Linked DNA regions of Pelodiscus sinensis. The protein of the gene in region 1 purifies or fractionates together with the protein of each later gene. This does not show direct contact. Links are inferred from orthologs where the notes say so. Each region holds a gene or a part of one and is shown in the gene's direction. Other genes may lie near its edges. The genes, in order: KRAS, HNRNPA0, C1QBP and HSPD1.

The links.
Region 2: the proteins of KRAS (region 1) and HNRNPA0 purify together in Homo sapiens (affinity purification with mass spectrometry; 3 studies listed by BioGRID and IntAct, with this or other methods). This does not show direct contact. The link is inferred for Pelodiscus sinensis from reciprocal best matches to the Homo sapiens genes KRAS and HNRNPA0.
Region 3: the proteins of KRAS (region 1) and C1QBP purify together in Homo sapiens (affinity purification with mass spectrometry; 3 studies listed by BioGRID and IntAct, with this or other methods). This does not show direct contact. The link is inferred for Pelodiscus sinensis from reciprocal best matches to the Homo sapiens genes KRAS and C1QBP.
Region 4: the proteins of KRAS (region 1) and HSPD1 purify together in Homo sapiens (affinity purification with mass spectrometry; 3 studies listed by BioGRID and IntAct, with this or other methods). This does not show direct contact. The link is inferred for Pelodiscus sinensis from reciprocal best matches to the Homo sapiens genes KRAS and HSPD1.

The regions. Positions count from the first base shown.
Region 1 is NC_134711.1:118,849,972-118,858,026, reverse strand, and holds the start of KRAS (GTPase KRas), read left to right. Parts: upstream 1-4,808; 5' UTR 4,809-4,816; intron 4,817-8,055. UniProt on the Homo sapiens protein: Ras proteins bind GDP/GTP and possess intrinsic GTPase activity. Plays an important role in the regulation of cell proliferation.
Region 2 is NC_134727.1:31,945,775-31,952,926, reverse strand, and holds HNRNPA0 (heterogeneous nuclear ribonucleoprotein A0), read left to right. Parts: upstream 1-3,963; 5' UTR 3,964-4,233; coding exon 4,234-5,157; 3' UTR 5,158-6,824; downstream 6,825-7,152. UniProt on the Homo sapiens protein: mRNA-binding component of ribonucleosomes. Specifically binds AU-rich element (ARE)-containing mRNAs. Involved in post-transcriptional regulation of cytokines mRNAs.
Region 3 is NC_134731.1:25,931,823-25,940,029, forward strand, and holds the start of C1QBP (complement component 1 Q subcomponent-binding protein, mitochondrial), read left to right. Parts: upstream 1-4,998; coding exon 4,999-5,233; intron 5,234-6,288; coding exon 6,289-6,439; intron 6,440-8,140; coding exon 8,141-8,207. Other genes in the region: uncharacterized protein LOC102447468, read right to left, coding at 2,816-4,454, 4,771-4,871.
Region 4 is NC_134717.1:71,507,331-71,514,797, reverse strand, and holds the start of HSPD1 (60 kDa heat shock protein, mitochondrial), read left to right. Parts: upstream 1-4,216; coding exon 4,217-4,390; intron 4,391-7,467. Other genes in the region: MOB-like protein phocein, read right to left, coding at 47-211, 2,161-2,250. UniProt on the Homo sapiens protein: Chaperonin implicated in mitochondrial protein import and macromolecular assembly. Together with Hsp10, facilitates the correct folding of imported proteins.

The DNA.
Region 1 (8,055 bases):
CATATTTTATAAGTCTCCATTTTTATAAAAATTGATGGGTTGCTGGGAAGATGCATGATTTTTTTGAACCAAGTTAATTCAGTCCATGTACCTGCATATGTTAGGTTTAATCTAGTTTTGTTATCTGGATGAATAGCTGGCAGAATACATATCCATAAATTCAGATGATTTATGAATCCTGATTGTTTTTGTAAACATAAGTGCCATAGAAAATATCCATTGGCAAAGAAATAACCTTGATAATTGAATTGCATTGGCTAGTGTATGTGTCTGTCTCTTCCTCATGGGATGGTTGCTATATGTATCATTAGCAGATGTGTAGTCTCTGCCACTGCGTAGTTTACACGTTTTTTCTTGTGTTTTTCATGTGTTTCAGAAGTATATTTAAAGACATTTTAATGTTTCGTATGTTGTTTAAAATGAACCATGAACAATTTCCTCTGGCTAATAGTGCTTGTGTTCAGTACCTTAGAAAATAGTCACTCTTAAAGTTGCAGCAATTTCTTTCGACAACAATATATGTCTCAGTAAAGTTTTTCAAGGCCATTGTTTAAATAGAAAAATTACCCGTCATTTCCTCTCCCCAGTCTGTGTGACTTTCTCAGGACTCACAGCCAGTGAATGAGAACATGAACAAGATCCAATTGTCTGCTCATAAGCAGTGGCTGTAGCAAAGTGCTGACAAGATTTGGATCTTGAAAAAGGACAGATTATGCTGTTACATGGATTTGATCTGGCATAGTTGTCATCAAGCAAAGATCCCCTTAGTGATATCAGACTGGCCAAAAAAGAAAGCAAAGTGGCTTGTTCTGCTGCGTGCACAGAGCTTGGGCTGTGGAATGAAGAGTTTATGCATCCCAGCTGGATTTGTAGGTTAATGTTATAAACATCCTTTTTGAGATAGAACATAGTAAGAATGCACTCGTTGGTTCATGCTCGAGAAGGAATAGAATAGATCAGGCTTTCTCAAAGTGTGCTCCGTGGAGCCCTGGGGCTCTGTGCAATGGGTCCCGGGGACACCACGAGAAAATATTAATGACAATTATTTGGAGCAATGGGTTTTTTTTCAATTAAAAATGGAGACAACATTTTTTATAAATAACCTATTGAGAATTATTGTGGCTGTATTCAATAAATAAGCTTGACATGCAACATGAAATGGGGGTAGGGGTTGTATAAAATGAAGAGTAGTTTGGCAAAACACTCAGGCTATCGCTGACAAACATAGAAGTGCGCTGCGGTAGCATATAGCAAGTTGCACGAGAGCTAGAGGCCTGATGACCTATATCAGAGGCTTCAAGCACCTGATACTACCGTCTGGCCTACCTCTTCACAAATCAAAGATTTAAGACGATATTTATTTCCCCCTTTTTTTGGACTGAAGTTCGCTGAAATACAGTGCACTTCACACTGCATTGTCGTTCATTTGACAATACATCACTGCCTACCCTTAGTATCAAAACACATTCTCCATGGATAAGTGGGTCCAAAAAGAAACTTTGGCTTCTAACAACTGGACTTTGGCTGGAACAAACAAAGCAAAATATTGGGAAAGGAAAAGGACAATCAATGCCTTTTGTGACTGAAAAATCAGAAAGTGAGCTGTTGAAGAGGAAACCACTTTCATCCACTGGATTAGCAGCAAGCAAAAAGAAACACAAGTATGATGAGTGTTATTAGTCTTTTAGTTTACTTGCATTGGAAATAAAGATGCTCCCGATGCATGGTGTGTGGTGTGTAACAATGTCCGTTCTCTGACACTTGCTAAATTATGAAGGCACTTTCAAATAATAAACTCTCAGTGATACAAATCACTAAATTGGGTAATGAAAACACACAGAAGCATGCTACAAAGTGAACTACCTTATTGCACACGCTGGAGAAGCACATACAATTGCAGAAGAACTCATCCAGCCTTGTGTAAGATATATTGTAACATGTATGCCTGATGAGCAATTGAGTTAAAAAAGTGGCACCATTGTCAAACAGTACTGTTGCATGTTGCATTCAAGATCTTGTTGCTGACAATAAGAAAGACCTAGTAAAGGCTCCACCAAATTTTCAGGACTCCATAGGGGATCCATGACCAAAAATGTTTGGGAAACCCCGGAGTAGAGGAACTTCACTTAATATAACAGCAAAAGAGTTGAAGACCTGAAGCAGAAAGATCCACTATAGGAAATCAGGGTTTGTCTAATGAATACTTAATTCATATCCAACTGGGATGTGACTCTACTCCACCATGCTGTGTCCATGTGGATTCTACTGCTGTGCACAAACACTTCCCTACTTTGCATTCATATATTTTGGTTTCAATGTAGGTTAGATAAAAGTTCTGTAGGGTACTTTTAGTATTCTGCAAGAGAATGTACATAGCTACATTAGTGTACAATGGGCTAGTGTGTGGAAGATTTACATCCAGCTTATGTGCTAGATAGGGCTTCAGTCACCTGAGATATGATGGTCTATACCACTGCACTTGAGAATCAAATTGTCAATCTTTGAAAATCTCCAGCTGATTCAAAAAACAATTTGCTCAGCCTCACAGGTGGCATGCTCATCATTAGTCCATGATTCCCAGAGCTGCATTTACTTTTCACTGAATACAGAGTCAAAATTTGAGGTTTCTGTCCTGTCCTTTTCTTCAACCTCATCTACCATAATGAGTGGCAATGCTAGGTGGACATTGTGTTTAAACACAGAGAACAAGTTAGTGTGTTACTTTTAGAATAAGGTACTCATGCTATGGGGATGAGTCTCAGCAGACAGAGAGATACTAATTCAGTGCTACTCAACTTTGGAAGCTCTGGGGGCCACAATGATCCTCTCAGCACATGTTGAGGGCCGCAACTTAAGTGTGGTTGCATGTACATGCAAATATATATGCAAATATATGCAAATAGCTTCATTCACACTGACGGGCATCAATACAAAGCACTTCCCATAATGCTCCAACTCTCCTGGCACCTTCTCTCTGGGGGCTAGAAATGCTGATATCCTGTACCTGTCTGTCCTAGCCAGCCCATCCGCTTGTGTCTTTCAGTGCTCATCCCGCCTGGGAGATGCCTCCCCGTTGTGGAGCATGTTCCCAGTGGAGGCCATGTTCAAAGGATCCCACCCCTGGGGCTCATGTTGAGCCCTGCGAAAACCCAAACCATCCTGTGGGCTGCAAACAAATGGGCCACGGGCTGCATGCGGCCCGGGGCCGTGTGTTTAGTAGCCCAGTACTAATAGATGATAAAGAAAACATGTTACTGTGACACTGACCGACCAGCCACCTGTGTGTGACCCAGAACAACTTAACATGATGTACTACAATTGTATCAAAACAATTCACCTGTCTGTGAATTTCAGAGATGTACTAGGCTAGCAATCATTAACCCGTTAATTTAATAGAAATCAAGGGAAGATATTAACCTATATCTTGTTAGAAGTTTAACAAAGTAATCAAAGTAGCTGTAGATGCTAATTCTCTTTCATATCTTAATTGCCTTATGTTACATGTGTGGATGGTTTAGTTAACCTTAAGATCAAAGATGTGAGATACTGCAGGAAACTAATAATTTAACTACATTGTTTTCAGCTTAACTATCTCTGTTGCCTTACAGTGTAATGACATTATCTGTGTATGCATAGGAAATAGAAAATTAACTTCAAAGCCTATGTCTGACAACTATTTGCAATGCCTATTCTCCCTCAGAGGAAAGTCCTGCTGTGACAATTTCTATGAGGAGGCTTGTCAGCCTGCTAGAGAGCTATAAAAGAGAAGCCTCAGGCCTGATCCTGTCTCTCAGGTCTGCTTTTATAGAGCGGGTCTAAACCACAGGACTGAGCTTTCCAGGTAATTTATCGGAATTACCCTGGAATTCTTATGGAAAACCCCCGACTCTTCACCTGAACTGCCAGTTACATTGTAACCCTTTGAATTGATTTCAGAGAGCCTTTTACAAATCAGCAGCCTCATTGTCTCTGCTATGAAACTAGATAAGGACTTTACACTTATTCATATGTATATTGATTTTTTAACCATTTGTAACTCTTCTTTTTTCCCTTTATTAATAATTCTTAGATTTATTTATTAAGGATTAGCTAACAGTGTGATTTTAGAGAAGATCTGGGTTTGCTGTTGAACTTGAAGTGTCTGATCCTTTGGGACTGGCAGAACTTTATGTATGGTTAACAGGATTTCCAGTAACCTCTCACTATGTTAGACTTGGTTGTTTAGATGGGAGCCAAGGGCTGGAATGCCTAAAGAACACTGTGTTTGGCTTTGGTGGAGCTAGTTATAGAATAAACCCACTAGTTTTGGGGATTGTGTACCCCATTTCTTATAGTCTGCCCTAAGCGTGGTATTTTCAATGTGGCCCATCCATGCACCCCAGTCACAGTTATGGTTAACAACGCTTTATGGTGGAAAGGTGAACAGGTCTGATGAAGGGCCATGTAAAGTTGGTAAAGTCACCAGGATCACACTCTGTTCTAATTCCACATATACAACCTCCTGGGATAAGCTTGCCACTCTTTCTCCATTTCCACTTATAGCATTAATGAGGGTTACAATGTCTCCTATGCTGAGTCCATCTTTGAAAAACTAACTTTCTTCCTCAGCTTTAAAAATGAAGACAAGTTAATCATTTGTGAGATTGCAGGAAGCAAGGGGCAAACGCTGTTTGTGTGAATACAATGGTTTTCCGGCGGGAACAGCAAAAGGAAAAGTGAGATCTTATGTAGGAGTAAAGGCAGGCCTGGGCAAAATACAGCCCATGGGCCAGATCCCTTCCTCCAAGCCACTGGATCTGACCCGCGGAGGCAGCGGGGAGCCCCAGGCAGGCTCATGAGCTTGCCCCGCATTCCCGTGCGCTGTGCAGAAAAGTGGCTGCAGGGCTCCATTTTTGTTTTGAACCTGGAGGGGAGAAGGGAAGTTTTAGGAGCTGCACTGCCCCCAGCACATTCCCCTTGGCCAGTTTTTGGCAGAAACTGGCTAATGGGAGCTGCTTGTTAGACTAACAGGCAACTAAGAAGAATCACACCCCTCTCTTGGGCTCAGTTATTCATGAAGGTCATGGCCAGGCAGGCAGGCTGGCTGACTGGGAAACATTTTAAGCTCTGCAGGCAGGCAGGCAAGTTTGGCAGCTGACAAGTAAGTCTGTTGGCCACAGCCTGCTTCTGGCAACCCAGCCCTTTCCTGCCCAAAATCTCTGCCCCTCCCCCCCCCACTCAACATACCCAAACCCTCTGTTCCCCTCTTACACCCATACCCCCTTCCAGATCTGGCACCGCAATCTCCTGCCCCAGATCACAATCCCCTCCTACCTTAGGTCACATCCCAAACCCCTGCACTCTAGTCCCCTGCCCTAGGTCACAACCATCTCCTTCGCCCAAACTCCCTCCCAGACTCCAGTCTTCTTGCTGCACCCCAGTCCCTTACCCAAGCTCCCTTCTGCACCCAATCTCCATTCCAGACCCCTCATCTCCATTAATATCATGGAAGAGTGCGTTCCTTGACCACTTTCCAAAATCTTGGTGTGGCCCCCTGTCAAAAATTATTGCCCACCCCTGGGTAAAGGGCATAGGGGTGCTGGATGGACTTTTGGGGACAGGTTCAGACAAAAGCTGGCAGTCACTTCAGGTTTCTTTGGCCAGGGATTTTGAAACATAGATCCATTTCTGGGAAAACACATCTAGGTAACAAACCCATGATGTTAGCTTTTTGAAATAGTTTGCTTCTTAGGTTAGAACTGTAGTAGAAGTTCACTAAATCACACTTCACTAATCCTCGCACCCCATCATTTGCACACATTGGACTAGATTCTGATATTGCTTGTTGTTTTTTACATCAGTTTAACTCCATTGACTTCCGTGAAGTTGTTTTCATTTACATTGTGAGATCAGAATACCCAGCAATTTCTCCCTGTTTTTCAGCAATCATTTAACACCGTGGTCCCCAACACGGTGCCCACGGGCGCAATGGCGCCCGCGGGGGCATTTCCATGCGCCTGCCAGGTGCTCGGGGCTGGCCTGGCACCGGGCGCAGGGCAGGGGGAGCGCCGGCCCCGGGCGCGCGGCGCAGGGCGGGGGGAGCACCGGCCCCGGGCGCGCGGCACTGGGCGGGGGGAGCGCCGGCCCCGGGCGCGCGGCGCTGGGCGGGGGGAGCGCCGGCCCCGGGCATGCAGCTATGGGGGGGCGCCCCGGGCATGCGGCTATGGGGGGGGCCGCCCCCAGGGCGCAAGTGTCCCCGCCCCCTGGCGCCCGGCGGGCGAACGGCCCCGCCCCCTGGCACCCGGCAACCTTGAAAGGTTGGAGATCACTGATTTAACAGAAGCCTCTGGTGTGGGTCTCTGTTACTTTCACAACATTCACTATGGAACACTGATACTTCATTGTATACTATTATTAAAACTACAATGGTCAACCAAACAAATGCATTCTGTGATGTATTTTCCTTGATTTTTTTAACCCTGTTTGCTCATTTACTACTTAATTTGCTAAATTCAGTAATACTGTGACATGGATTACTCGGTCATTAGTGAAGTTCCATGTGACGTGACAATGTTAAGTCTACAAAGCTAATTTTCCATGTTTAATTTGTAATCCTAAAGCCTGTCACCTTAGAAAGGAGGTTATTAAATACACATGCACACACACTCAGTGTAGGCCTACTTTAGCATAGGCAAATTATCTGAATTTCATGCAGACTCAGCACTGAAGAGTGAGTGAGGCCAACATTTCCTTTGGGCAAGGCACTGAAAGGAAATTGGAGGAAGGTTGCACAATAAGTGAACCTTCAAAGGAAACATGGAGTTGGAGAAAGGACTGCAGGAGAGGGAGCACAGATTATAAAGAGAATGAGATTCAGAACTGATGAATTTATGAGAGTTAATGATGGACAGCTGTAGGTGAGCAAAGTGGGGTGGATCTTAAAATATATATTCTTGTGCCGGGGGGAAAAGAGTTGGAAGGAAAGAATGGATTGTGTTATGTGAGAATGGAGAAAATAAGTAAAGAGATTAATTGCATAGAAAAAGGGGAAAGTAGGGACAGGGAGACTGTGGATTTGGGAAAAGAAGTTGTGGATTTCAGGGATTAGGAGAAGTAGAAGGGAATGGTGAAGGAGAGAGAAATTTGGAATCATGGAGAAAAGAAAGTGAGGGAGAGAGAAGTAAAGAGAGAGAGACTTCAAAATATAGAAAGGGAGCAGTGGGAATGGAGATATTAACCATATAGCATGGGTTACAGAGACGTGAGGCTGCTTCTTTATATGTCTGTGTTTGGGCCTGGGAAATGTGAAAGGGCATTTAGTGCTTGGCTTTGTGTGTGTGGCATTTATGGGTAATTTAATATAATATCATTTGCCAATTGGCAAGTTATTCAGGTAAAGAATACCAGATATATACACAGTAAACATGTTAATTTAATATATAAAATGATTATATACAAGTGTCTTAAAATCTACTCTAACTGTACATTGTATTTTTAAAATTTCCAGAGAATGCCCTTCAGGACGCATTCTCCTCCTCCGCACCCCCATTCCTATTTAAGTTTGGTGATTCCTGATAGCTCCCCAAAGCCTCCCATTTCCTTTTGGCTAGCTATGGGCCTACTCAGGGCCATGAAACATCTGAAAGTAATTAAATGCTAATAATATTGGGCATGTTCTGTCCTGCACTGTTTTTATCTTAAACTTTCTTTGTAAATGAGCATGCAGGTATCAGTGGAGAAAAGGCCAACGGCTTTACTGTAACTTTGCAACAATTACTGCGGTTTCAATGTGTTAGTTCCTTTACAGACAAATATGATGAACAATCAATGTTGCAGTCTAGGGCCTTGCTCCTGCACAGATATACTCAGATTTACACCCTGGGAGTAATTCCATTGATTCTGATGAAACCACTCACAGGGCATAAAGTTTGAATGTGCGAATTAGTCTTTGCAGGATTGGAGACAAGGGCTCTGATGATGCCATTGGATGTGTCAGGTAGACCCTTGTGCTCATGCAGCGTTCTGCAGACTTCAGTGGAACTCCAGGCGAGGTGGCTCCTAGTGAGATTGGTGCCT
Region 2 (7,152 bases), on another chromosome or scaffold:
AAGTTAATGTTAAGTTTAACCGGTTAACTGATTAAATGGGGGCAGGCAGAAGTGCCATTTCAGTCCACTGGTCTGGAATGGTGTTCTCCACCCGCGGCAGCCCTTGCCTGTGACAAGACTGGGCCTGCCATAGATAGGGGCTGTTGTGGCCAGCCAGTTGAAGCAGCCCCTGCTTGCGGTGGACCCTGTGGGGCTGGAGTAAATCCCTGTCCGTGGCAGGCAGGGGCTGCTCCAGTCCCTCCTGGTTAACTGGAACTGGTATGCCTGACCCATTAGCAAAATAGAAAGTGCCAATTGCTTGAGTTATTGAGAACTAACTAAGCCAATTAAGGGATAATAGTGATTCGAGGGGAAGAGTATGAAATAGATTGGAAAATTGGATAGGAAAACACTGGCAGGAAGAACAAAAAGAGAGTGGGGGACTGAGAGCTGTATGAAAGGAAAAGAAGGGCTCTGTGTAAGCCCCAACACTTCTCTGTCTCACCAACAGAAGTTGGCCCAATAAATTATTACCTCTCCCATACACTCTCTCTAGTATCCTGGGACTGATACGTCTATAACACCACTGCATACATGAAAGGGAAGTAAAAATGAACCTAAAGGGGTAAGGAGAGCTGCAAAAGGGATAAACAAGAGAATATAGTAAAACAGGGAATAGAGAAGGGCTATGAAAAGAAAAATGGTTTTAAAATGTAAAAGGCAAGGTGGGTGATAGAATATCTTTTACTGCTCTTTGTGGTTTATGCAACATTTACAAGCTCCTCTTATTTGATTAGTGGGAATCTCTTGGAGAAGCTACGATCCCTTGGTGGCCCACTTAATCTTGGACATACTTTGCTAGGCAATGGGACAACTTCCTAACCTCATAGTTAATTCCCAGGCACTATTCGGCTACGTCTATATTGGCAAGATTTTGAGCAAATATTTTTAACACAAGAGTTTTTGCGTTAAAGTATTTGCGCAAGAGAACGTCTACACTGGCATGTGCTTTTGCGCAAGAGATGTGCTTTTGCACAAAAGCATCCGTGCCAGTGTAGACGCTCTCTTGCACAAGAAAGGTCCGATGGCCATTTTAGCCATCAGGCTTTCTTGCGCAAGAAATTAACATTGCCTGTCTACACTGGCCTCTTGCGCAAGAACAGTTGCGCAAGAGGGCTTATCCCTGAGCGTGAGCGTCAGAGTATTTGCGCAAGAAGCACTGATTTTATACATTAGAACGTTGGTGTTCTTGCGCAAGTACTCGCGGCCAGTGTAGACAGGTGGCAAGATTTTGCGCAAAATCTTGCCAATGTAGACACAGCCCTCTTGTTCTGGTTAGGGATGTTAGATAGCAGGTATTTGAGTAGTCGTGTAACCACATGAAATCTTTGTGCTTACACAATTATTCAACAGTACCTGGGGGCAGGGCTGGCAACCAGTGCGCTCCTGGCTCCACACCCGGGGAGCGCCCATTCACCCCATTCTGCTGCCTCTGTATCAGTTTAAAAACCAGCTCCCCTCACGGACTGGCTGCCTGGCACCCCACGCTGCTGCCTCTGATACAGAAGCAGCAGAGTGGGGTGGCAGTAACCCCTGTCCGTGAGGGTCCCATGTTCTCCATGGACAGAGGCTACTCCAGGAGATGCAGAGCAGCCTGTCCTCAGGGAGCTCAGACCCTCTCCCGCAGTTGGGGGTTGCTACCTCGAAGATGCGAAGCAGCCACTGTCTGTGGGTACCCTGGACCCCTTGTGGACAGGGGCTGCTACCATGAAGCAGCTTCCCCTCACCCTCGCTGCTGCCTCTGCTAGAGGCAGCAGACTGTGGAGCCAGTGTTGGGGGAACCATCTTTTAAGCTGGTTCCCTTCAGCACCAGCTCCTGCTTTCCCTCTCTTGTTGCCTCTGATACAGAGGCAGCAAGTGGGGGGATGTAAGTAGTCAACAAGATTAACTGATAAGCCTAGGCTTATTGGTTAATTATCTAGTTGACTACTCATTGACATTCCTAGTTCGGGTTTGTGGTGCTTGAAAGCTTGTCTGTTCCACCACCAGAAGTTGGTCCATTAAAAAACAAGGGCTATGTCTAGACTGCAAGCCTCTTTCGAAAGAGGCTCTTTCGAAAGAGAGCGTCTAGACTGCACGTTGAACTTTCGAAAAAGCGGCTTGCTTTTTCGAAAGAAAGCATCCAGTGAGTCTGGATGCTCTCTTTCGAAGAAGCCCTATTTACATTGAAGAACGCCTTCTTTCGAAAGAGGAACTTTCGAAAGAAGGCGTTCTTCCTCGTGAAATGAGGCTTACCGCAATCGAAAGAAAAGCCGCATTCTTTCGATTTAATTTCGAAAGAACGCAGCTGCAGTCTAGACGCAGGTGAGGTTTTTTCAAAAAAAGGCTACTTTTTTCGAAAAAACCCCTGAGTCTGGACACAGCCAAGGAGAAAGGTAAGGAAATATCTTTCTTATAGGCTGGACCCATTACTCCTACCCCAAGACAAGCAATGTGAAAATAATGAGTTGTAGGAAAGTACAAATCCATAACTCAACCCAGATGGGAAGGAAGGAGCACAATAAAATAAATGCCTAGGTGCTATGATAGGAAATTAAACGTGAGAATAGGCGGACGCCTCACAGCCTGGCAAGGCCCCGTCCCAGGTGTCAGTGGACCACCAAAGGATCCTAGGCAGATTCCCACTAATCAAAGGAAGGGGGCCTATAAATGTCACCTTGACCCCCACAGAGCATGTTTTCCCTTTGCTCTTGGCTCCTCAGTACATAGGTGCTGAACTGGGGTTGCTTCTGCACCCCCAGGCTTATAATGGAAGCCACTTTAGACAAGGCTAAAGCGTATTCCAGCACCCGCTGCTTTTCCCAGTGCGCTGCGCGGGAGCCAAACACCAGCAGCAGCAGAGGTGTGACTGAGCCCATCCCTCTGCCCCCGAGCCAGCTGGAACCCGCTCCCTCCCTGGCCTCCATCATCTCCCAGGGCAGGCCGGGGGGGGGGGGGGGGGCAGAGCAATGGGACAGATGGATGGGGAGTGGGGAGCACGGTGTGAGCAGCCATGAATTGCCCCGCAGAGAGCCAGCTCCGAGTCGCTGCTCAGCACAGGGGCCGCAAGGGACGAGCTCCAGGGGGCGCGGGGAGCAAGGCCCTGCGGTGCTCGCAGCAGGCACGAGAGAACGGCCCTGGGGGGGGGGGGTGTCCCCTCAGGTTTATCCGCTTCAACATGGCTGGTTGCCTCAGCCGCCCCTCCGGCCCAGTGCAGGTGGGGGAGCTTTGCTGGGCAGGAGTCTGGCCAGGCCCCTGAGGCGGCTGCTCTCACTGCGGGGCAAGTGCTTGGGGCGGGGGCATGACTGAGGGGAGCCCGTCTCTCGGGCGAGGTGCTGGGAGCTTCAAGCCCGTGCTGGGGGGGGGGGGCGGCCTCTCTCTCATTTCATTGGGGAGAGGGACTTGTAACTGAAACTGCTGCCTAACGGTCAGCTTTTCAAACGCTCCCGCGCGGCCTGCCATAAAAGCTAGGCGACGCCCTTCCCCCACTCGCGGGGGCGGGGCTGTTGGGGGGGAATGGGAAGCGCGCGACTGGGAAGGAGGAGACCTATTGGCTCACGTCCTCGGGGTTGACGCATTATCGCAGCTTCAAGTCGGTCCCTCCCTCCCTCCTCTTCTCTCGGCGCGAGTTGAGGCTGCAGAATCCTATTAGTCGATTCTTGATTAGGCCCCGCCTCTCCACCCTCTGCTTTACAGGAAGTCGATTGGCTCGCTGGGACGTCAGTTATTATCTCACTCCCACCCTCTCTTTTCCTCTTGCCTACGCGCGGCGGAGGTCGCGTCATCCGATTAGTCCTGGAGACGTCAATCACGCACGAAGCCCCTCCTTCTAGTGAGTGACACGTTCACGTCCGCTGCTGCGCCTTTCTATTGGCCCAGTGTGCGCTGAGGGCGGGTGCTACGGCGGCACGGCGGGCGGGGCTCCCAGCGTCCCCTTTGTGTGAGCACCAGTTGCCGGCCGAGCGCCTGAGGAGTAGCAGCCGCCATTTTGTGCGTGTCGGTGTGCTCCCCCACCCCCAGGCCGCTTTTCTGTGGAACCAGCGGCGGTCGGGTCGCTGGCGAGGCGAGCCCAGGCGAGGCCAAGGAGGAGCCGCGGCAGCTGCTGCTGTCTTGAAGTTGCGGCGCTCGTTGTACGTGGAGAGGCCCGCGCTGCCCCCCAGCAGGAGGAGGAGTCTCGGCGCCAGGCCCAGGCGCAGCCCCGGCGGCGGCGGCAGCATGGAGAATTCGCAGCTGTGCAAGCTGTTCATTGGCGGCCTCAACGTGCAGACCACGGAGGCCGGGCTGCGGGAGCACTTCGAGGCCTACGGCACCCTCACCGACTGCGTGGTGGTGCTCAACCCGCAGACCAAGCGCTCCCGATGCTTCGGTTTCGTCACCTACTCAGCCGTGGAGGAGGCCGACGCCGCCATGGCCGCCTCCCCCCACGCCGTGGACGGCAACGCGGTCGAGCTGAAGCGGGCCGTGTCCCGGGAGGACTCGGCCCGGCCGGGGGCCCACGCTAAGGTGAAGAAGCTCTTCGTGGGCGGCCTCAAGGGGGACGTGGGCGAGGGGGACCTGGTGCAGCACTTCAGCCAGTTCGGCCCCGTGGAGAAGGCCGAGATCATCGCCGACAAGCAGAGCGGCAAGAAGCGCGGCTTCGGCTTCGTCTATTTCCAGAACCACGACGCCGCCGACAAGGCCGCGGTGGTCAAGTTCCATCCGATCCAGGGCCACCGCGTGGAGGTCAAGAAGGCCGTGCCCAAAGAGGACATCCAGTCGGGAGGCGGAGGCGGCGGCTCCTCGAGGCCTTCTCGGGGCGGCAGGGGAGGAGGACGAGGACGGGGTGGCGGTGGATCCGGCAACCGGGACCACAACGGGCTCTCCAAAGGAGGCGGCGGCTATAATAGCTACGGAGGCTATGGTGGAGGCGGCGGCTACGGGTCTTACGGCAGCGGCTCCTACGGAGGAGGTGGTGGAGGCGGAGATTATGGCAACGGGTACGGCGGGTTCGGCAGCTACAGCCAGCATCAGTCCTCTTACGGCCCCATGAAGAGCGGCGGCGGCGGAGGAGGAGGGGGCGGCAGCTGGGGAGGGCGCAGTAACAGTGGACCGTACAGAGGAGGCTATGGTGGGGGAGGGTATGGCGGCAGCTCCTTCTAACTGGGAGCGCCCATACCCATCGGGGGTGGCATGGAGAGCCCTCCCTTTGTTACGGGGCACCTTCTAATGGTTTCTCCGCTCACTCGCCTAAGGGCAGTTCTTAGTAAATGCCTCCCTTGCTGTGGGAGCAGCTCCTAAATGCCCTCTGGGGGTGCTCTGCCTGTGCCACTTCTTTCTCTCTGAAGATGGACTGGGCCCCACACACACATACTTTGTGTTACAGTCATTGATGGACTCTATTTTTTTATTATTACTTGGACCTTGGTCGTTTTTATACTAGCAATGAAAATGTCTTGTTTTAATTTTGTTTTTGGGGTGGGGGGTGGGAAATGTCTTGCTGATTCTGAAGTAAAAACGGGGGAGGAAGATGGGGGGGAATTTACTTTGTTGTAAGGACTCGATACCTGGCTACTACATTTTTTTTCCCCTACAAAATCTGCTTGGATCCCATGACTGAAATTAACATTTCTGTAAAGGAGGAAAAAAATCGTTTTTACGTTTTTTATTTTTTAAATAAATCATTGTGTTCATTGACCTTTACATGTCTAACTTTTTTCCTAGGATCCATTCCGTACGGTTTAAGGCTTTTCTGGGTTTGAAACAAGTATTGTTCCTCTGCTTTTAATTCTCTATGTATTTAGAGACTTTATTGCCAGTAAAGGTCCTAATTTACTATTTTTGCTGTCCCATTAGTGGATTTATTGGTTTTCAAACACTTTATGGACAAATTTTTGAAGTACTAATTGGTGGATGTGGTATGTTTTTTAAATATTCATTCTCACTTTTGCAGTTTGTGTGCATCCACCATCTTGTACTAGGCAGTTTGATTGACGTGCTGACATGGTTGGTCAATTTTTTCTATAGGACTTTTCCATCAACGTATGTACTGTGTAGTTCTAAAGAAATAGTTTGTGTTAAGCATGTGCTTCATTCATATAAAATGTTCAAAATTTCCAATTGCTTAGTTTCAGATCCTCTTATTGGCTTGTCTGTAAATGATTCGCTACAGGAAAGGGTCAACATTTATTCCTTCAATTAAATGCCTACTTGTTTTCATAGTACCAGGTTAAAACAGACTCTTCACTTGATCTGAACTATTGTCCTTCGTTAAAGTTCCCGAGTATCCTTTGCAGCACCATCTACTGGCAGAATGGCAGAACTGCTGCTGTAGGCTTCGTTACAACAGAGGCAAAATTGTTTGCTAACAACTCTACTAGATTTTTTTGAAAGGTGTCATATGCCATTAAATGATTGGCGTAGACTGAAATAAAAATCAAATCTGCATGTGACTAAAGATGGGCTCCCTGCATACTGACTGAAACAAAATGGATTTGAAATATCTGCTTCAGTACATTTCTAAAACTTACAACTGCCCATCCTTCAAAAGAAGTGGTAATCTAAACTGTTTGGGCAAAGTGCTATGATGAATGAGCCAGCTAAGTGTACCGGTAACATAGGTGCCAGTTGTAAAGCAAAATATCTGTGTAGTCTGCTTGATTAACAAATGTATATTTGTAGCCCTTTCACGCAATAGAATTAAAGTTTGTTGTTTATTTGGAAAAAAAAAAGCATAATGTTATAGGGGAAATCTGCCTTCCTGGATAGAAATATAGAATAGCATCGTTTATGGGTTTATGGATATCACAAATAAAGAATTGAATTCCTTACATGCTTGAGTGAGAGTATGTATGACATGGGGTATGGATTAAAAAAAAATTGTAAAGTCACTTTGGTTCCAGGTTTCTAAGCATTTAATGTTTAACCTTTAACCATATTGTTTTCTCACTGCATTCCATGGGTTTGATCCTACTTCCATTATAGCTAATGGCAAAATTACCATTGTCTTAAATGGAAGTAGTATAGCGCACTACAAATCCATGAGCTCCACCCATTTTGATGTGTAACTTTCAAATCATTGTTTTAAAAAAATCAGTGACTCCGTGGACACTGATTTCAGTTGGAGTTATGCTAAATCAAAATAAGATCAGTTGATGA
Region 3 (8,207 bases), on another chromosome or scaffold:
GTCCTTGTTGTTTTTGCTGAAGCAACTACCTCTGAAACCTATCCTTCTGGAAGTGAGACACTCAAAAGCCCCTTGAGCAAAATGGCAGCTCATGAAGTATGCAAATGCAGCATAGCAATATTCACCGCTTCGTCTCATTTTCATATTTTCTTGCGCAAGACAGCGCAGTATAGATGTAGCCTAAGTGAAGCATTCACACTACCAAGCCCGTTATTCCACAATTGCGGGCTGCAGACTTCAAACCCTGTAGTGCTTTTCACGAGGAGTACCACTAGTTCCAACTTTGTACGTCCAAGATAACAGTAGTGCAGACATTCTGGTGTCACTAATTGGCCTCTGGGAGGCCTCCTGCAGCTGATCACTCCAGCCACGCTTGGCCAACCCACTGCTCTCCCCTCCTGCGGCGCTCATCCTGGAATTGATGTCATGTCCCACGTGATCAGCTTTGTGAGCCCTGTGCAAGTGACCAGCACATGGAGACATGAGTGCCCCCACTGTCCTCGCTGACATCGTGATGGTTGCCAGCACTTCTGCTCCCATGGCCCCCACTGCCCAGGGATGCAGAAGAGCTCCAGCCTGAAGTGCTAAGGAGATCCTGAATCTCACTGAGTAGGGCGGGGGGGGGAGGAGGGGGCGTTCAACCTCCATGAACTCTGCACAATGCAGGCAAATGCCAACATCTATGGTAGGATTGTCTCCAGCTTCTTGGCCAAAGGCCACACCAAGAACCTGCAGCAGTGCAGGTTCAAAATCAAACAGCTGTGCCAGTCCTACCAGAAGGCCAGGGAGCAGAGCAGCTGTTCTGGGGCAGCACCTGCCACTGTTACAACCAGCTGGATGTCATTCTGGGAGGGGAGTCGGTTACCTCCACCGCCGTGGTCCAGTCTGGCCTAGACATGCCTGGCATCAGCCTGCAGGTGGGCAGGGTGATGGAGGAGGATGCCAGAAAGGCAACAATGCCTGAGAGCTAGGAGCTGCTCCTCGCTTTGGAGCCGGTCCGCCCCTTCCAGGATGTTTCCCAGGCTTCTGACAACCCTGGGGAGGGCACTTCTGGTGAGTTTTCTAACTTTAGCTGCAAGTGAGGGTCAGGCAAAGGGCTGCATGCTCCTCTCTGTTACTCACTCTGGCTGTGTCTACACTGGCATGAATTTCCAGAACCGCTTAAAACGGAATACTATTCCGTTTTCAGTTTTTCCGGAGAAGGAGCGTCTACATTGGCAGGCTGCTTTTCTGGAAAAGCCCCTTTTCCGGAAAAGCGTCTGTGGCCAATGTAGATGCGCTTTTCCGGAAAAGACTACTGGGCTGTCTACACTGGCCCTTTTCCGGAACAGTGTTTCAGAATAAGGACTTATGCCCGAGCGGGAGCAGAATAGTTTTTCCGGAATAGCGGCTGATTTTGTACAGTAGAGCATCGTTGCTTTTCCGGAAGTTCAAGGGCCAGTGTAGACAGCTCACAGCTTATTCCGGAAAAGTGGCTGATTTTCCGGAATTAGTGGCCCAGTGTAGACACAGCCTCCGAGGGTTGCAGAACAGCTTGTTCACATGTCTGTAGATGGCGTGTCAGGCTGGAGCACTCATTGCCACAATGCTGTCACACAGGAACCCTTTGATCCTTCTCACACGATTCCCATAGAGGCCTGCCTTATTCCAGCCTCTGTGGTAGGACACCTTCCTACACTAAGCCACCAGGAAGCAGTCTGGGGTCATGGAACCACATAGCAGTGTAGCACGCTGCCCTGATTCATGCCCGCACACAGTCAGCATTCGCTCCAAATCAAGCACAGTGATGCAGGGAAGACTGATGATATGCATAGGAACCTGCTGGAAGGAAGAAGAGGAGGGGAACCCATTAGCACTTTCTGCCACTCATACACACTTCCCCTCTCCTTCCAGCAGGCATTGATAGAAATTCTCACCGCAGGATGCCACGAGTGCCAGACCCAGCATGTGCAGGACACAGTAGGAAGCTGAGCCGCCCCCCGGCATGGTCCTGGCCTGGTGGGCACCTTACCATGCCTACTTATCTCCAGTCTCTGTGTTTGTGATGCTCCCCTGGGATGTCTGTGCACCTGCTGGAAAGTACCTGCTTTAGAAGCAAATTATGGCCTTGCTCAAAACACAGTGCTGTTGTCTGAACTGAGACCTTCAGTGTTGGCTCAGTGATTAGGGCTAGGCTTCATACAAAGCGTTTCCTGTGAAGACTGCCCTTGTAAATTCACAGCAGGACAGCGGTGAGCTGGGCATGTCCCTAACTTCCTGCTGCATCTATCCACCTGACCAGGATCTGCAGATGAATAAGAACATGGGACATGCTCATGAGGGAGCAGCTGGTCTGCCTGCAGTCCCTCATGCAGGAAGTCAAGGCAGAGTACCTGGAGCAGGTTACTGAGAGGAGCGGCAGGCTGACCAGGAGACAGAGGCCACATGGGAGCAGCTGGTACACCAGCGTAACATATTCTCTACCCTCACAGCAGTGCTGGAGCATGTAGCAGCATGCATGGATTGGGCCACCAGCCACATCCCACCTGCTCGATGGCCACCCCTGCAAGGGTCTCCAGGGATTGCTGGGACCCCAAAACACAAGGCATGGGGCCCTCTAGGCCACCTGGAGGCAAACACCAGTCCCAGCCCTGGCCCCCATTACAGGTTCTTTCTCCATTCCCTTCCCTGTTGTATGTCCACTGAATAAAGACTCCTGTTTGTTAATCAATGATCTCTTTATTGTTTGCTCTGCCAAGGAGGGCAGGAAAACAGAGAGACGGGGATCTCTCTCTCTCACACACGCACACACACACAGAATGCAGGGTGGAGAGTCTCACAACTGGTCTTGCATAAAACTGTCTTTCAAGGCGTCTCTGATGAACAATGCCCCTTGCTGTGCTCTCCTTGTGGCACTGGTGTCTGGTTGCTCAAACTCCCGAGCTAGGCGTTCTGCCTCAGCCCCCCATGCTGGAAGAAAAGTCTCCCCCTTGTTTTCACACAGGTTATGGAGCACACAACATGCCGCCACCACGAAGGGCATGTTGAGCTCGCTGATGTCCAGGCGGGTGAGGAGACTCCTGAACCTCCCCTTTAAACGCCCAAATGCACATTTCACCACCATTCTACACCTTCTCAGCCTGTTATTGAACTCCTCCTTGCTGGCATCCAGGCGGCCTGTGTAGGGCTTCATGAGCCAGGGGAGCAAAGGGTAGGCTGCATCTCCCAGGATCATAATGGGCATTTCCAACTCTCCGACCTTGATTGCCCTATGGGGGAAAAAAGTGCCAGCACGCATCTTACTGAAGAGGGATGAGCTCTGCAAGATGCGTGTGTTATGCGCCTTTCCCGACCATCCAACGTTGATGTCAGTGAAGCGTCCCTTGTGATCCACAAGTGCCTGCAGCACCATGGAACAGTACCCTTTTTGGTTGATGTAGTTTGAGGCATGGTCGTCAGAAGCCACAATGGGGATGTGTGTTCCGTCTATGACCCCCCCACAATTGGGGAAGCCCATGTCGGCAAAACCATCCAAGATGTTGTCTATGTTGCCCAGAGTTACAAACCTCTGTAGCAGGATGTGGTTGATGGCCTTGGCTACTTGTAGGAGCACAGCCCTGACTCTGGATTTCCCCACCCCGAATTGATTCCCGACTGAGCGGTAGCTGTCTGATGTAGCTAGCTTCCAGAGGGCAATGGCCACGCGTTTCTGCACGGGGATGGCAGGTCTCACTCGGGTATTCAGGTGCCTGAGGGCAGGGTCAAGCCACTCGCAGAGTTCGAGGAAGGTGGCCTTGCGCATGCGGAAGTTTTGCAGCCACTGCTGATCATCCCATCCCTGCATGACAATGTGATCCCACCAGTCCGTGCTTGACTCCCTCCGCCAGAAGCGATGTTCCATTGTGTCGAGGGGAGTCAGAGGCATGTACAGAAGCAGGAGTGCCAACACTTCGCTAACCATGGCTTCTGGGCCATGCTGGACCTCCTCCTCTTCCTGCTGGAGCAACGTGCGGGCATTGTCGAAGTACTGCTCCATGAGGCGCAGCATTGAAGCCATGAGCGTGGCACTGCCTTGCAGCTGCTCTGGCTCCATGGTTGCAGGGCTGTGGTGCCAGTGTGGGAACCCAGGGCACAACAAGACAGGTGCCCACCGTGTCCCTTTCCTGTTGCACAACAGGGGCGTAATGGAGGAGCACTTGTGGGATGCAAGAATGGAGAGGAGCCTCTGAAAGCCCAAGTCGACACCAGACGGAGCCGCTCCCCAGAGTTCCGCCTGGGGCGCCGAGGCCGAGGCCGGCTCTGAACGTGGACACGTCACCTCCGGGAAACTTCGATTGGTGCCTGATGCGGGGACACGGCTCCACAGCAGGTGCCCAGCGCGCGAGGTCAGTGAATTCGAATGGATCCCGCAGGGACCAGCGGCTCCGGCGGTGCGGGGGGGGGGCGCGTTGCAGGGCTGCAATCCCCCGGCGCGGCTGCAAGGCACGAATCGAGGCAGCGGTTAGGTCTCGAGCCGGCAGGCCCCGGGCCAACTGCCGCCCGCCCGCGGCCTCCGAACCGCCCCTCCGATCGGTTTGCGCGCGACGGTTACTGGGCGGGGCCGGGAGGGGCGCGCGACGGTTACTGGGCGGGGCCGAGAGGGGCGCGCGACGGTTACTGGGCGGGGCCGGGAGGGGCGCGCGACGGTTACTGGGCGGGGCCTGCTTCGCGCCGAGATCGGCCTGCGGGAAGAGGGTCCCCTGGCCCGGCCTTAGAGCGGGGGCGCCAGCGGCAATGGGGGGGGGGCCTTACCACGCGAGCTCGGTGGAGGCGGGGACGCGACTCCTTGTACGGCTCAAGGGCGGCCCGCGGCTGCCGCTGCCCGAGACCTGAAGAGGCAGAAGCCCCCTCATCGAACCACTTCCGGGCGACCGCGTGCACTTCCGGGCGACAGCTTCCGCTTCCGGGCCAGGGGCCGCCCCGTGTCCTCTGCTCCCGCACGTGCCCCGCGCCTCACTCGGCCTCGCTCTCCCGCCAAGGATGCTGCTGGCCCGGGCCCTCCGCGCCGCCGCCGCTGCCCTCCGCCCGCTGCCCCAGCGGCCCCCGCGCCTCCTGCCCTCCGCGCTGCTGCGGCCCGCCACCGCCCGCCCCTTCACCCGCAGCCTCTGGCTGCTCAGCGCCGACCCCGCCGGGACGCAGCGGCCCGGCCTCCTGCGGCCCCCGCGGGCCTCCCCCGCCGGCCTGTCCTGCGGCTGCGGCGGCCTCCACACCGAGGGTAATGGGGGGTGGAAGGAGGCAGGGCGGGGGCAGGGAGCCCTGGACGCAGAGCGGGTTTCCGAGGCGCGGGGCTGGGGCCGGCGGGTCACCCGCGAGGGGCCCAGACGTGCGCGCTGCGCCTGAGCCGCGCTCGGCGTCTGGCTCCTCGGCCTGGACTCGCGGCGGCTTCCCTGGCCGTGACCGGCTCCGCTCAGCGCTTGGTGATTCCCCCCCGGGGGCGGGATGCTGCGCTCGGGCAGCTGCGGGGAGAGCCTGCTGTGTCTCCATCGTCTCCTGGCTCCTGCCATGGGAGAGGTCTGGCTAGCACAGCAGGGGGAGTTGGGGCTGAGGCAGTTTCTGCTCCTAATTTTGCCATTGACAAAATGGGCGGCCTTGGGCAAGTTTCTCAACCTTTCTATTATGTGCATCGCTGCACTCCTCCACCCCTCTTAACGAGGGATGTGAAAGGTTAACTGGTCACCTGATGAACCAGTAAAAGCATCACCTTAAATGCAAATCCTGAAGCCTGAGATCTGGGCTTCTGAAGAAGACTGCAGAGCAGCGTGGATCTGCATAACTTGAGAGGGGTTGATGCCATCCAACTTCTTGTGCTCACTTCATTCATAAGTTAGGTGCTGTTTCCCTCCTATATTGTACCTGTAACAGTACTTGCATATATTGAAAGAAGAGCTTTTTAATAATGTCTTTTAGTAATCACTCCTTACCTAAGCCTTCATCCAGAACTTCAGAACCTTTGGCAAATCAAGGGCTCTTACATGTCCTCTCTCTGTAATCAACATAATTCTTTGCCCTCAACAGTATAGTGCTTTTCAGCTGAACATGAACAAACACTTTATGAACAAGTAGGCCTTCTAATATCAGTATAAAGTCTGTGGTCTTACCTCACCATTTTATACCCAGATAAGCTGAGGTACACACAAGCTATTTGGTCAAGTACGTAGCTCAACTAGAAATAGAATCTTGAGGCTTAACTTTACTTTCTCATCTAACCACTAGGGAACAATGTTTCTAACTCAGGTGTATTAATGTCTTTGTCTTTTTTATTCCTTGAAGGGGACAAAGCATTTGCACAGTTTCTGACAGATGAAATTAAAGAGGAGAAGAAGATCCAGAAACATAAATCCCTGCCCAAGATGTCTGGAGGGTGGGAGCTAGAAGTGCATGGCACCGAGGCTAAACTGGTGCGGAAAATAGCTGGTGAGAGGTAAGTGTGAGATGGGTTTTTTGCTTAATTGATATTTGATCTTTTCAGTGAACATAAAGGACTTGGTAAAAATTGCAGCCAGCATGTTTTGTCCAGGATTGAGGTTAATGAAAAGCTATTAACTTAGTGCTGTTTCTCATTGTCAGCTCTGCTGTCATTCAGGGCCAGTACAGATAACAGAAGCTTTGTAGTCAATTTATTTTTCTATACTGTAGCACTGTGGTCACCAACAGGTCGATCGCAATCTACTGGTCGCTCGCGAGGCCTCAACCAGTCGCTCGCGAGGCGTCCTGTCTGCCCTGCCCCCATTTCCCTCCCACCCCCGAGAAGCCCCACTACTTACCTCAAGTGAAAATGGAGGTAGTGTCGGCTTCCCGGGAATGGACAGAAGTCCTGCAGCTTAGCGCCACTTCCGGCGATTCCAGAAGTGCACTAGCTGCTCTGCCGGGTGTTCTGTGGGAGGGAGCATTGGCTCCCTGCACTGCACAGGAGAGGTGAGTCAGCCCCACGGGAAGCGCGCAGGGGGTTGGCCCCCGGGCAGGTGTGCGCGCGGGGCTTCCCTGGGCGGGGGGGTTGGCGCCGGGGCAAGCGCGCACAGGGTTTCCCTGCGCCGGGGGGTTGTCCCCCTGGGCAAGGTGTGCCCGCGCGGGGCTTCCCTGCGCGGGGGGGGGGGGGGGAGCGGTCGGCGCCGGGGCAGGCACGCGTGGGGCTTCCCTGCGCGGGGGCGGGGGAATCGGCACCGGGGCAGGCGTGCACGCGGGGCTTTCCTGGGCGGGGGGGGGGGAGGGGGGGTTGGCGCCGGGGCAGGCACACACTGGTTTCCCTGGGGGTGGGGGGTAGAATCCTGGGAGGAGGGAGATGCAGGGGACTCTCTGTCTCCACTCCCCAGCCACAGAACGCTGTCCCCACTCACCTGGCCCCAGCCACAGAACGCTGTCCCCACTCCCCGAACTCTGTCCCCACTGGCACCCTGTCCCCAGCTGCAGAAACCTGTCTTCTGCCCTCCCAGCACCTTGTTCCCTTTCCCCTGCCCCCAGCCACAGAACTCTGTCCCCACAAAAATGTATAATTATAAATGCTTCATTTTAGATTTAAATAGCATGAATAAAAAACAGACCATTTATTTCATAACTATAAACATGTGATTTTAATTGTATGTATCGCATAATTTAAAAATAAACTGTTTATCAGAGTGTGTAAGTAAGGGCTGGGGATAGCAAGTGATGGACAGGAGGAGAATAGAGAGGGCGGGCTTTCAAGGAAGGGGCGGGGTGGTAGATCTTTGCCTGTTCTGAGATTTTAAAAAGTGATCTTGGGTGTAAAAAGGTTGGAGACCACTGCTGTAGCACAATGGGGTATACTTTGCCATTGTATCTTGCCTTTGTCTTCTAAGGATTCATGGCCATTTTACCTTGGGGGGAAACAGGAAACATGAATTTAACCTAGTAAACTAAGAATACATTCGTTCATAAATACAAGGAATTTATGTGTTTTAAACTTAGTACAGTTTATCTTTGAGAGTAGCACACCATGCAAAGTGCTTGGAAATTCAGTGAAGTGCATACTGTACTTCAGACCCCATTAGTCATATCAGCAATGTCAGCAACTGAAATTTGGTGAGCTGGAATAGAGCTGTGACTTTCGGTTGTTCAACTAGCTGGCCTTTCTCTGGTATTTAATCTCATCCTTGTTGTGTTGAAGGATTACCGTTACATTCAACACTAACAACAGCATTCCACCAACGTTTGATGAAGAACCACAAGAAGGA
Region 4 (7,467 bases), on another chromosome or scaffold:
TTTTATCCAAAAAAGTTAGTGATGTGCAAAATTGGGATAGATTTACCTTTCCTTTGGATCCTGATCCAATTGCCACTACTGTTGCTTGTAGCACTTTCCCTTGAGATTTTTCTGGAAGCATGATTCCTCCTTTGGTTACAGTCTCAGCTGCACATTTTTCAACCAGAACACGGTCAAATAAAGGAAGAAATTTCCTAAATGCTTTCCCAGCCTGTTGAAATAGAATTCAATATTTTTGTACTGTACAGAAAAGACCAAATCACTTTGGAGACTGCAACAAAGTTGCAATCCAAAATACAAGATTTTACTATTTAAACAGCAGAAGCTTCAGCCCTTCCCATCCTCCCTAATGGGCCCTGCGAGATGGGAGGTTCAGTGCTGGCCAGTCCCAGAGAGTGGAGAAGGGTGCACCCCCAATCAGCCCCTTTCACCTGCCTGGTGAGTGTCTCTTTTATGTATGGTTTTATGAGAAGTGATCCCATTCCACGTATACCCATCCCTTATGTTGGTCCCAACTCTTACCATCTAGGAGATCTTGAATAAACAAACTCTAAAATATATAATAATATATTAACTATATTACAAACACTGCCTCTTTGCTGCATGGAGAAGGAACAGAAAGCAGGAGGGGGAGCGGGTGCAGCTGAGGATGGAGAAAGAAAACCCAACACTGAGAACTGCAATTACTTTGAAGCTAGCAGCAGGCAATAGCAAAGGTTACCAACCTAGGGCTGTTAAAAATGTCAGTCTTAACTACTGAGCCAGGAGGTAACAGCAGTGTTTGAGATCACAGAGTGCAAGCCACATACAAGTCTGCAATCCTTGCAACTTCACTAAGCAAGTAACACAAGAAAGGGAGCCAAAGAGAGCCAGAACACATTTTAGTTTAAAAGCAATCAAGTTGTTGCATATGAAGAATTGCCAAGTCACAGGCTGCTGGCTTCCAGCACCATTCCAGTTGCTTCTACAGATGTCAAAGTGCCACAGCCTGGACACGTGTAGAATCAGCTAGAAATACAGAGAACGCACAAGCCCGGATCTCTCCCTTAGGGGCTATTGCTACACAAAAAAATAAATTTGGAAGCAGGATGCGGATATGATTGCCAGATCAAAAATATTCTTAAAAGTATTAGCGAACGTTGGTTCATCCCCCAGTTCTATTAAGACTTGGGCAAGGCTATCAACATGTTGAAAACATCTAGTTTAACCAATTGCATAGATTTAAGAATTTGGGGTCTTTTTATACTAACTTATGTTCTTTTAAATCAGTGTTTTCTGTGACAGGAACGACCACATACTAAAGGGATCAACAAAAAAAAAATAGAAAAAATTAGAAAGGAGTTTTTTCCTCCCGCTGTGGCTGTTGGATTTGGCATCGTCTAAAGACACATTACAGAGACCTACTAATACGAGCTCACTATCGCTTTATTAAGTTTGAAACAAAATACAGGACTGTGTAGCACTTAATATCACTGTATTAAGTTTGACTTTTAAAAATAACTTACTGTCTCTCTTAGTGATAGAAACGGTGAGAGAACAAACGTATTTGAAAAAGGTCATCCTTGCCCTCACTGGTTCCATGGCTTAACATGATTTGATCTGAGGAAGTGGGTCTGGCCCACGAAAGCTCATCATCTAATAAACCATCTTGTTAGTCTTTAAAGTGCTACATTGTCCTGCATTTTGCTTCAGCTACCCCAGACTAACACGGCTACATCTCTACCACCATGGCTTAACAGTTTCTGCGGTATTTACATGACCTTGTGAGCAGGCAAGGTCAGGCTCAGGGACAAGCCAAGAGACGAAACCCAGCCCAATTATACTGTATTGATTAAGAAGACGGTTCCTGGGCAAGTCCCAGGCCAGCTGGGAATGAGGGTTCAGGGAGGCTCGCTGCCTGTTCAGCTGCTAGGACACGTTTCCATGCCCAGGGGCTCCGGGCCGACCCAGCGGATGTGCCCGGGCGATCGCGTGTCGCGTCTCGCCCCACTGCGGTAACCCCCCCGCCCCCCGGCCCCGCGCTCAGCGCCGCCGCCCCCCGGGCAACCCCGGGCCCCGCAGCCCCAGGGCGGCAACTGGGGGGTGCCCAGAGCCGCCGCCCCCCCACTGCGGCCCAGGGGCGGGCCCCGGCAGCACCGCGCGGCGGGACGAGACGCTCACCATGGCGCAGCGTGTCCCTCCCGCTCTGCGACTGAGCGCCCCACTGACCCGCCGCGACTGCACGTGGGGTGGACCACTCCCGCTGCGCATGCGCCTCCCCCTCCCCTCGAGCGGCGCGCGCCGGAAGGCGGGGCTACTTCCGTTGTTCCTGGGAGACAAATGCTTTCGGCACTTGTATTTTTTTACTCTCGCCGGCAGTTTCCGCACGAGAACCGGACTCTCTATGCGGCGATGTTAAACGGCGGCCTCAGTACCGCCTCGTTGCGCCCGGCAGCGGACGAACATCCGGAAGTGACGCAATACCACCTTTGACCTGTGGCGAGCATGAGCGTTCCAGAAGGTTCTGGAATGGGGAGGCCCCGAAATCTGTATGATTCACACGCTAGGAAGCGGCGGGCGCACATAGGGCGCGAGGTCTCGCAGGCCCCGCCCACGCCCCGGCTACGCGCTTCCGCGATTGGCGGGAAGCCGCGCCCCGCCCCTCGCCGGGGCCCGCGTATGCTGTTATGCGGCTTGCGGGGCCGCGCTGCCCGGGACCCACATGGGCCGCTGCGTGCGCGGGGGAGGGGCAGGGCTGGCCAGCGCCGTGTTCCCTCCAGGCTCCCGTCAGTCCCGCCGCGCGGCTCGCCAGCTCCCAGCCCTCCCAGCGCAGGTGAGCGGCCCCTCACAGCCCCTGTCCGCCCGGCCCGCACGGTGTGAGCGGCTCCCCGCCTCCTGCGCGCGGGCTGGGGGGAGGGGAGACCTTCGCCTGGGGGGGGCACGTGGCGAGCCTGGGGGGGAACGTGGGGGGGGGGGCACGTGGCGAGCCTGGGGGGGAACGTGGGGCGGGGGGGCACGTGGCGAGCCTGGGGGGGGAACGTGGGGCGGGGGGGCACGTGGCGAGCCTGGGGGGGGCGTGGGGCGGGGGGGCACGTGGCGAGCCTGGGGGGGGAACGTGGGGCGGGGGGGCACGTGGCGAGCCTGGGGGGGGCGTGGGGCGGGGGGAGACGTGGCGAGCCTGGGGGGGGCACGTGGCGAGCCTGGGGGGGGTCGGGGCGGGGGAGACGTGGCGAGCCTGGGGGGGAACGTGGGGGGGGCACGTGGCGAGCCTGGGGGGGGTCGGGGTGGGGGGGCACGTGGCGAGCCTGTGGGGGGGGGCGGGGGAGACGTGGCGAGCCTGGGGGGGGGGGCAGCGTGTTCCCCGCTCGGCTGCGCTGCCCCCGCCCCTGGCCCCGCACGCGTGGGAACCGGCCCTCGTGCCGTGCCTTCCGCTGCCGGGCTGCACGCTGCCCTGAGCCCGTGGCCGGCTCCGCTCCCTGCCCGCCGTGCAGCGCGGCTCGGCAGCAGCAGGGGGCGAGCGCCTCTTGACCTTGCTGTGTCCTGACGGTGAGAACCGTGCGGGGGGCCGGGGCTTTGCTGACTCTGCCGGGCTGTTGCTACTGTTGCAGCTTTTGTGCTAGTTGCTAGTGACATGCTCTCGCCCTGGGACAGCGCGGGCTTGGCTTTCCCTGTCGCGTGCCCCTTGGGGAACGGGGACTTCATTTTGGGGACATTTCTGCTGATAAAGCTGCTGAGCTCTGACCAGCCTTGTCTATAGTCGTCCCGCCCACTCTGGGAGAGAGAAATGCCCCTTTCCCTGTTCTCTAACACATAATAGTGCTGTGATAAAACTCATTGTCACCGTGGCTGTAATCTCTGCATGTGAAAAACAAAATGAACATCACGTTCTGGTGAGCTTGATACACTTTATTCACATTTTACAGACTAAAAACGGAGCTGCAGGAGTTGTGACTTGCCCAGGATCACATAGCCTGTCACTGGCTGAGCTGGAATTAGAATCTAGGATTCCAGGTGGCCGGACTTTCGCTCTGGTATCCAGTGTCTAGTAAAATTAGGGTACTGAATATTTGTTAGGTCACAGCTTTCATTTAAAACTCAAGAACTATTAGTAATTTATTTATTCCTTAAATTTTGGGAGGAATTTGAGGACAAAATGTAGGAATAAGGCTGTTCAAAGGACTGTGACAAATGAAAACTAACGTGGTTGTGTTTTTTTATTTTAATTTATGCTTCAGAAATGCTCCGTTTATCAACAGTGCTACGTCAGATGAGGCCAGTGTCCAGAGCACTGGCCCCACACCTACTACGGACCTATGCAAAAGATGTTAAATTTGGAGCAGATGCTAGAGCTCTTATGCTACAGGGAGTAGATCTTCTAGCAGATGCTGTAGCTGTCACCATGGGACCAAAGGTATATTAAATTATTTTTTGTGTAATGTGAATTCTTGTTCAGTACAGCCCTGTTTTATAAACCAGTTGGGGATTGAGGTATTCGTAAAGTAAAAAATGTCATCAAATGGACCATTTCAAAATTATAGTAGATACAGTGCATAAGTTAATTTATCAGTCATTAAACCACTGTGTGCACAGAAATAGTAAATGAATAATATGCCAGACTCTTGTTAGAACTTAATCTCTGTGCTGCTAAATTAGTCTTTCCAGCACCATACAGGCACTTAAATTTTGGCTGGACAATTGTTCAGTGGATGGAAGATGACTTATGGCAGGATATATTTATGATGGTTAGTATTAATGGAATGTTACTGTTTTAGAAGTGTCATGTTCAGAACCCAGTTCAGTTTAAAGTAATAAACCCAATTTCATGTTGGGAGGAAGCTAAGTACTCCCATCACACAACATAAATGGTTCCCCACGAGCAGCCTACTGCTTCAACCTGCCATGATGGAGAGCTGCTTCAGCACTGTTAGGCAGCCCCTGGTGACTGATGCTGGCAGCTGGAGTCCCACTTAATTGGTTAACCAGTTGATTAATCTGTTATTGTTTAGCTGATTAATCAGGATTTACATCCCTAGTAAATAGCGTGGCTTATGTGAACATGCAGTGTTGACTATAATAGAGGTAGTTGAACAACCTACAACAAATTTAGGTTTTCAGAGTACTAGCTGTGATGTTGGAGCAAGACAGTAATTTTGGATAGGGGTTGTGTTTAACGCAAGGCTTTGGAGATCATACACCTCTCCTGGGCAGAGGTTATTGACCTGTGGACCACTTTGTGCTCAATCAGCATATAGCTGTGGTGCAAGTGACACCCTCAGGGCTATATAGGCAGTATTGTGTATCTATAGTGTGTGGCTGTGACCCACAATGGCGATAGGTTGAGAACCACTTCTCTAGCGAGTATAAATCCAAAGTTGGGGTCTCTGTATTGGGTTTCCTCCTGATTTGCCCTGGTAAACCATGTAACCGCGAACAAGTCCCAAGGATATAATAAAAGGAGTGGCTGTTAGGTGAATACACCTTTAGGCTCAATTCTGCAAGTGTTTATCCTAGTGAGTAATCCCATTGCATGTAGTTGGATTACTTCCATGAATAAAATTATACACAGTAGGTCTCTGCAGGATTGGAAGTGTGTGTGTGTGTGTGTGTGGGCGCGCGCGCATATAATTGAGTTATCTCCAAAGGTGAGTGTTTCATTACTCAACACTCCTTAAATATCTATCTAATCTAAATTTTTTCATGTGGGATGACAGTGATGTCATTATGTCACTACGTCCTGCTTACCTCCTCCCTCTCTAGTGCTCCAGATGGGAGCCGGGGCTGCCACCGCCTGGCCTAACACCCTTTCCCCGCTGGCAGCTGGAGGAAGAGAGCCAGGACTGGTGTGATGGGTGGGAGGAAAGGGGGTAGGCCAGGGCTGCCATGCATCAACCTGGCCCTTCCCAGTGGCTGACCCTGGCTGCCTACCCCCAGAGAAGGAGGGTTGGCGAGCATAGTGAGCAGGGGATGCAGCCCCCTAGTTCTTTGTAAACAAAAAATGTCAGCTTGAGAGAAACCAAGTGGTGAGGAAATTCTACTTAATTTGTGTCATGGCTTTTAAAAAATAATCTAAAAACCTATGTAAGACTAGGTTTCTCAAAGCAGTTACTCTGTGTTAATGGAAATGGAATTGGTTTGTCTTCATGACTGACAAGGTAACCCCCAAGCCATAAGCTGCGCTGGGGGGGGGGGTGGTGTGTGTGTGTATCTGAGTTTCTTCTTGGTCCAGCCATAAAAGTAACCCTTATTTCTATGTTCAATTCAAAGGCTTAACTGTAAGAATAGTATTCTAGTATTTGTTCAGTAATCTGCAGACTCCTCATAACACCATTCTCTCCAAAATCCTAAAGTAGAGGAGGTTCTCAGCTCCCCCCTCCCCCATTCTGGGATATCATCTGTCATGTTCCAGAACTCCAGTCTCCAGGCCATCCACTTGAGAGTTCCCACATTTGCTTCCTTCCTCTTGACTATTCTCTGGTAATCCCAAATCAGGTCTCCCACGTGAACTAGCTGAGTTACTCACGTAGGCCTTCCTAAATTCTTCCTGCTTTTGGGAACCATTCTGTTGCATCAATCTTATTGGTTTGGATTTGACTTTCCCTAACCAGGCTGGCTCTTCCCTTTGTTTCTAGGGGCCTCTGCACCAGCTTTCAGCATTGGCCAGTCCCCATCAGTAATACTCTTTAGCTTTTGTTCTTCCCAATAGCTCTCTGCACCTGCTCTCCTTTGCTGCTTCTGTTTCTGCATCTGTCCTTTCTTCTTGATCCGGCTTTCCTGACTTCGCTTTTATGTAGCTCAGGTGCCTTTTCTTAACCCCCTTTGGGAGGCAACTAATCAGTAGGTGCCCGGGCCCTGCCCCCTCTTAAAAGAGCTAGTCACTCCGTGATAGTTGGAGGTGGCACCTTCTTAGCTTTTTCGAAGAGCAAAAATGTAACACATATAGGAGAATGCCTAGTTCCTCAAGGTGAGGGTTGACAAAATGATGCAAAAAGTGGTAAAGTGCCAACAACATAGTATTGTCTGCATTGGAAGTTAGGTTGGTAGAACTGGTTGTGAACTTTTCACACCCCTGAGCTAGTGATGTGAGCAAGTAGTTGAGTTCTTGGCTACCAGATAAGGCTAAGTGTAGCCGGGAGTCGAGTATTTGACTACTTGCTTCCCTCCACCTGCTTGCTGCCTCTGTATGAGAGGCAGTGGGTGGGGCAGGAGCTGGCTTAAAAGCTGGTTTCCTCCCCCAGCACCAGCTCTATGGTGCTGCCTCTGCAGGGTAAAGGAGGCTCCCATGAAGCAATCTTCTGCCCATGGTGGGCCTAGGCTCACCACAGGCAGAGGCTGCTCTGGCAGAAGCCAGCCACAGCTGCTACAAACAGGGGGTCCCAGGACTGAGCTGGGACCAAGCAGTCCCAGATAATGTCCGTCTGGGACTGCTGCCCCTCCGCATTTTCAATGTAGTAAGAGCCATCCACCTGCGCTACAGCTGTGAATTTTAAA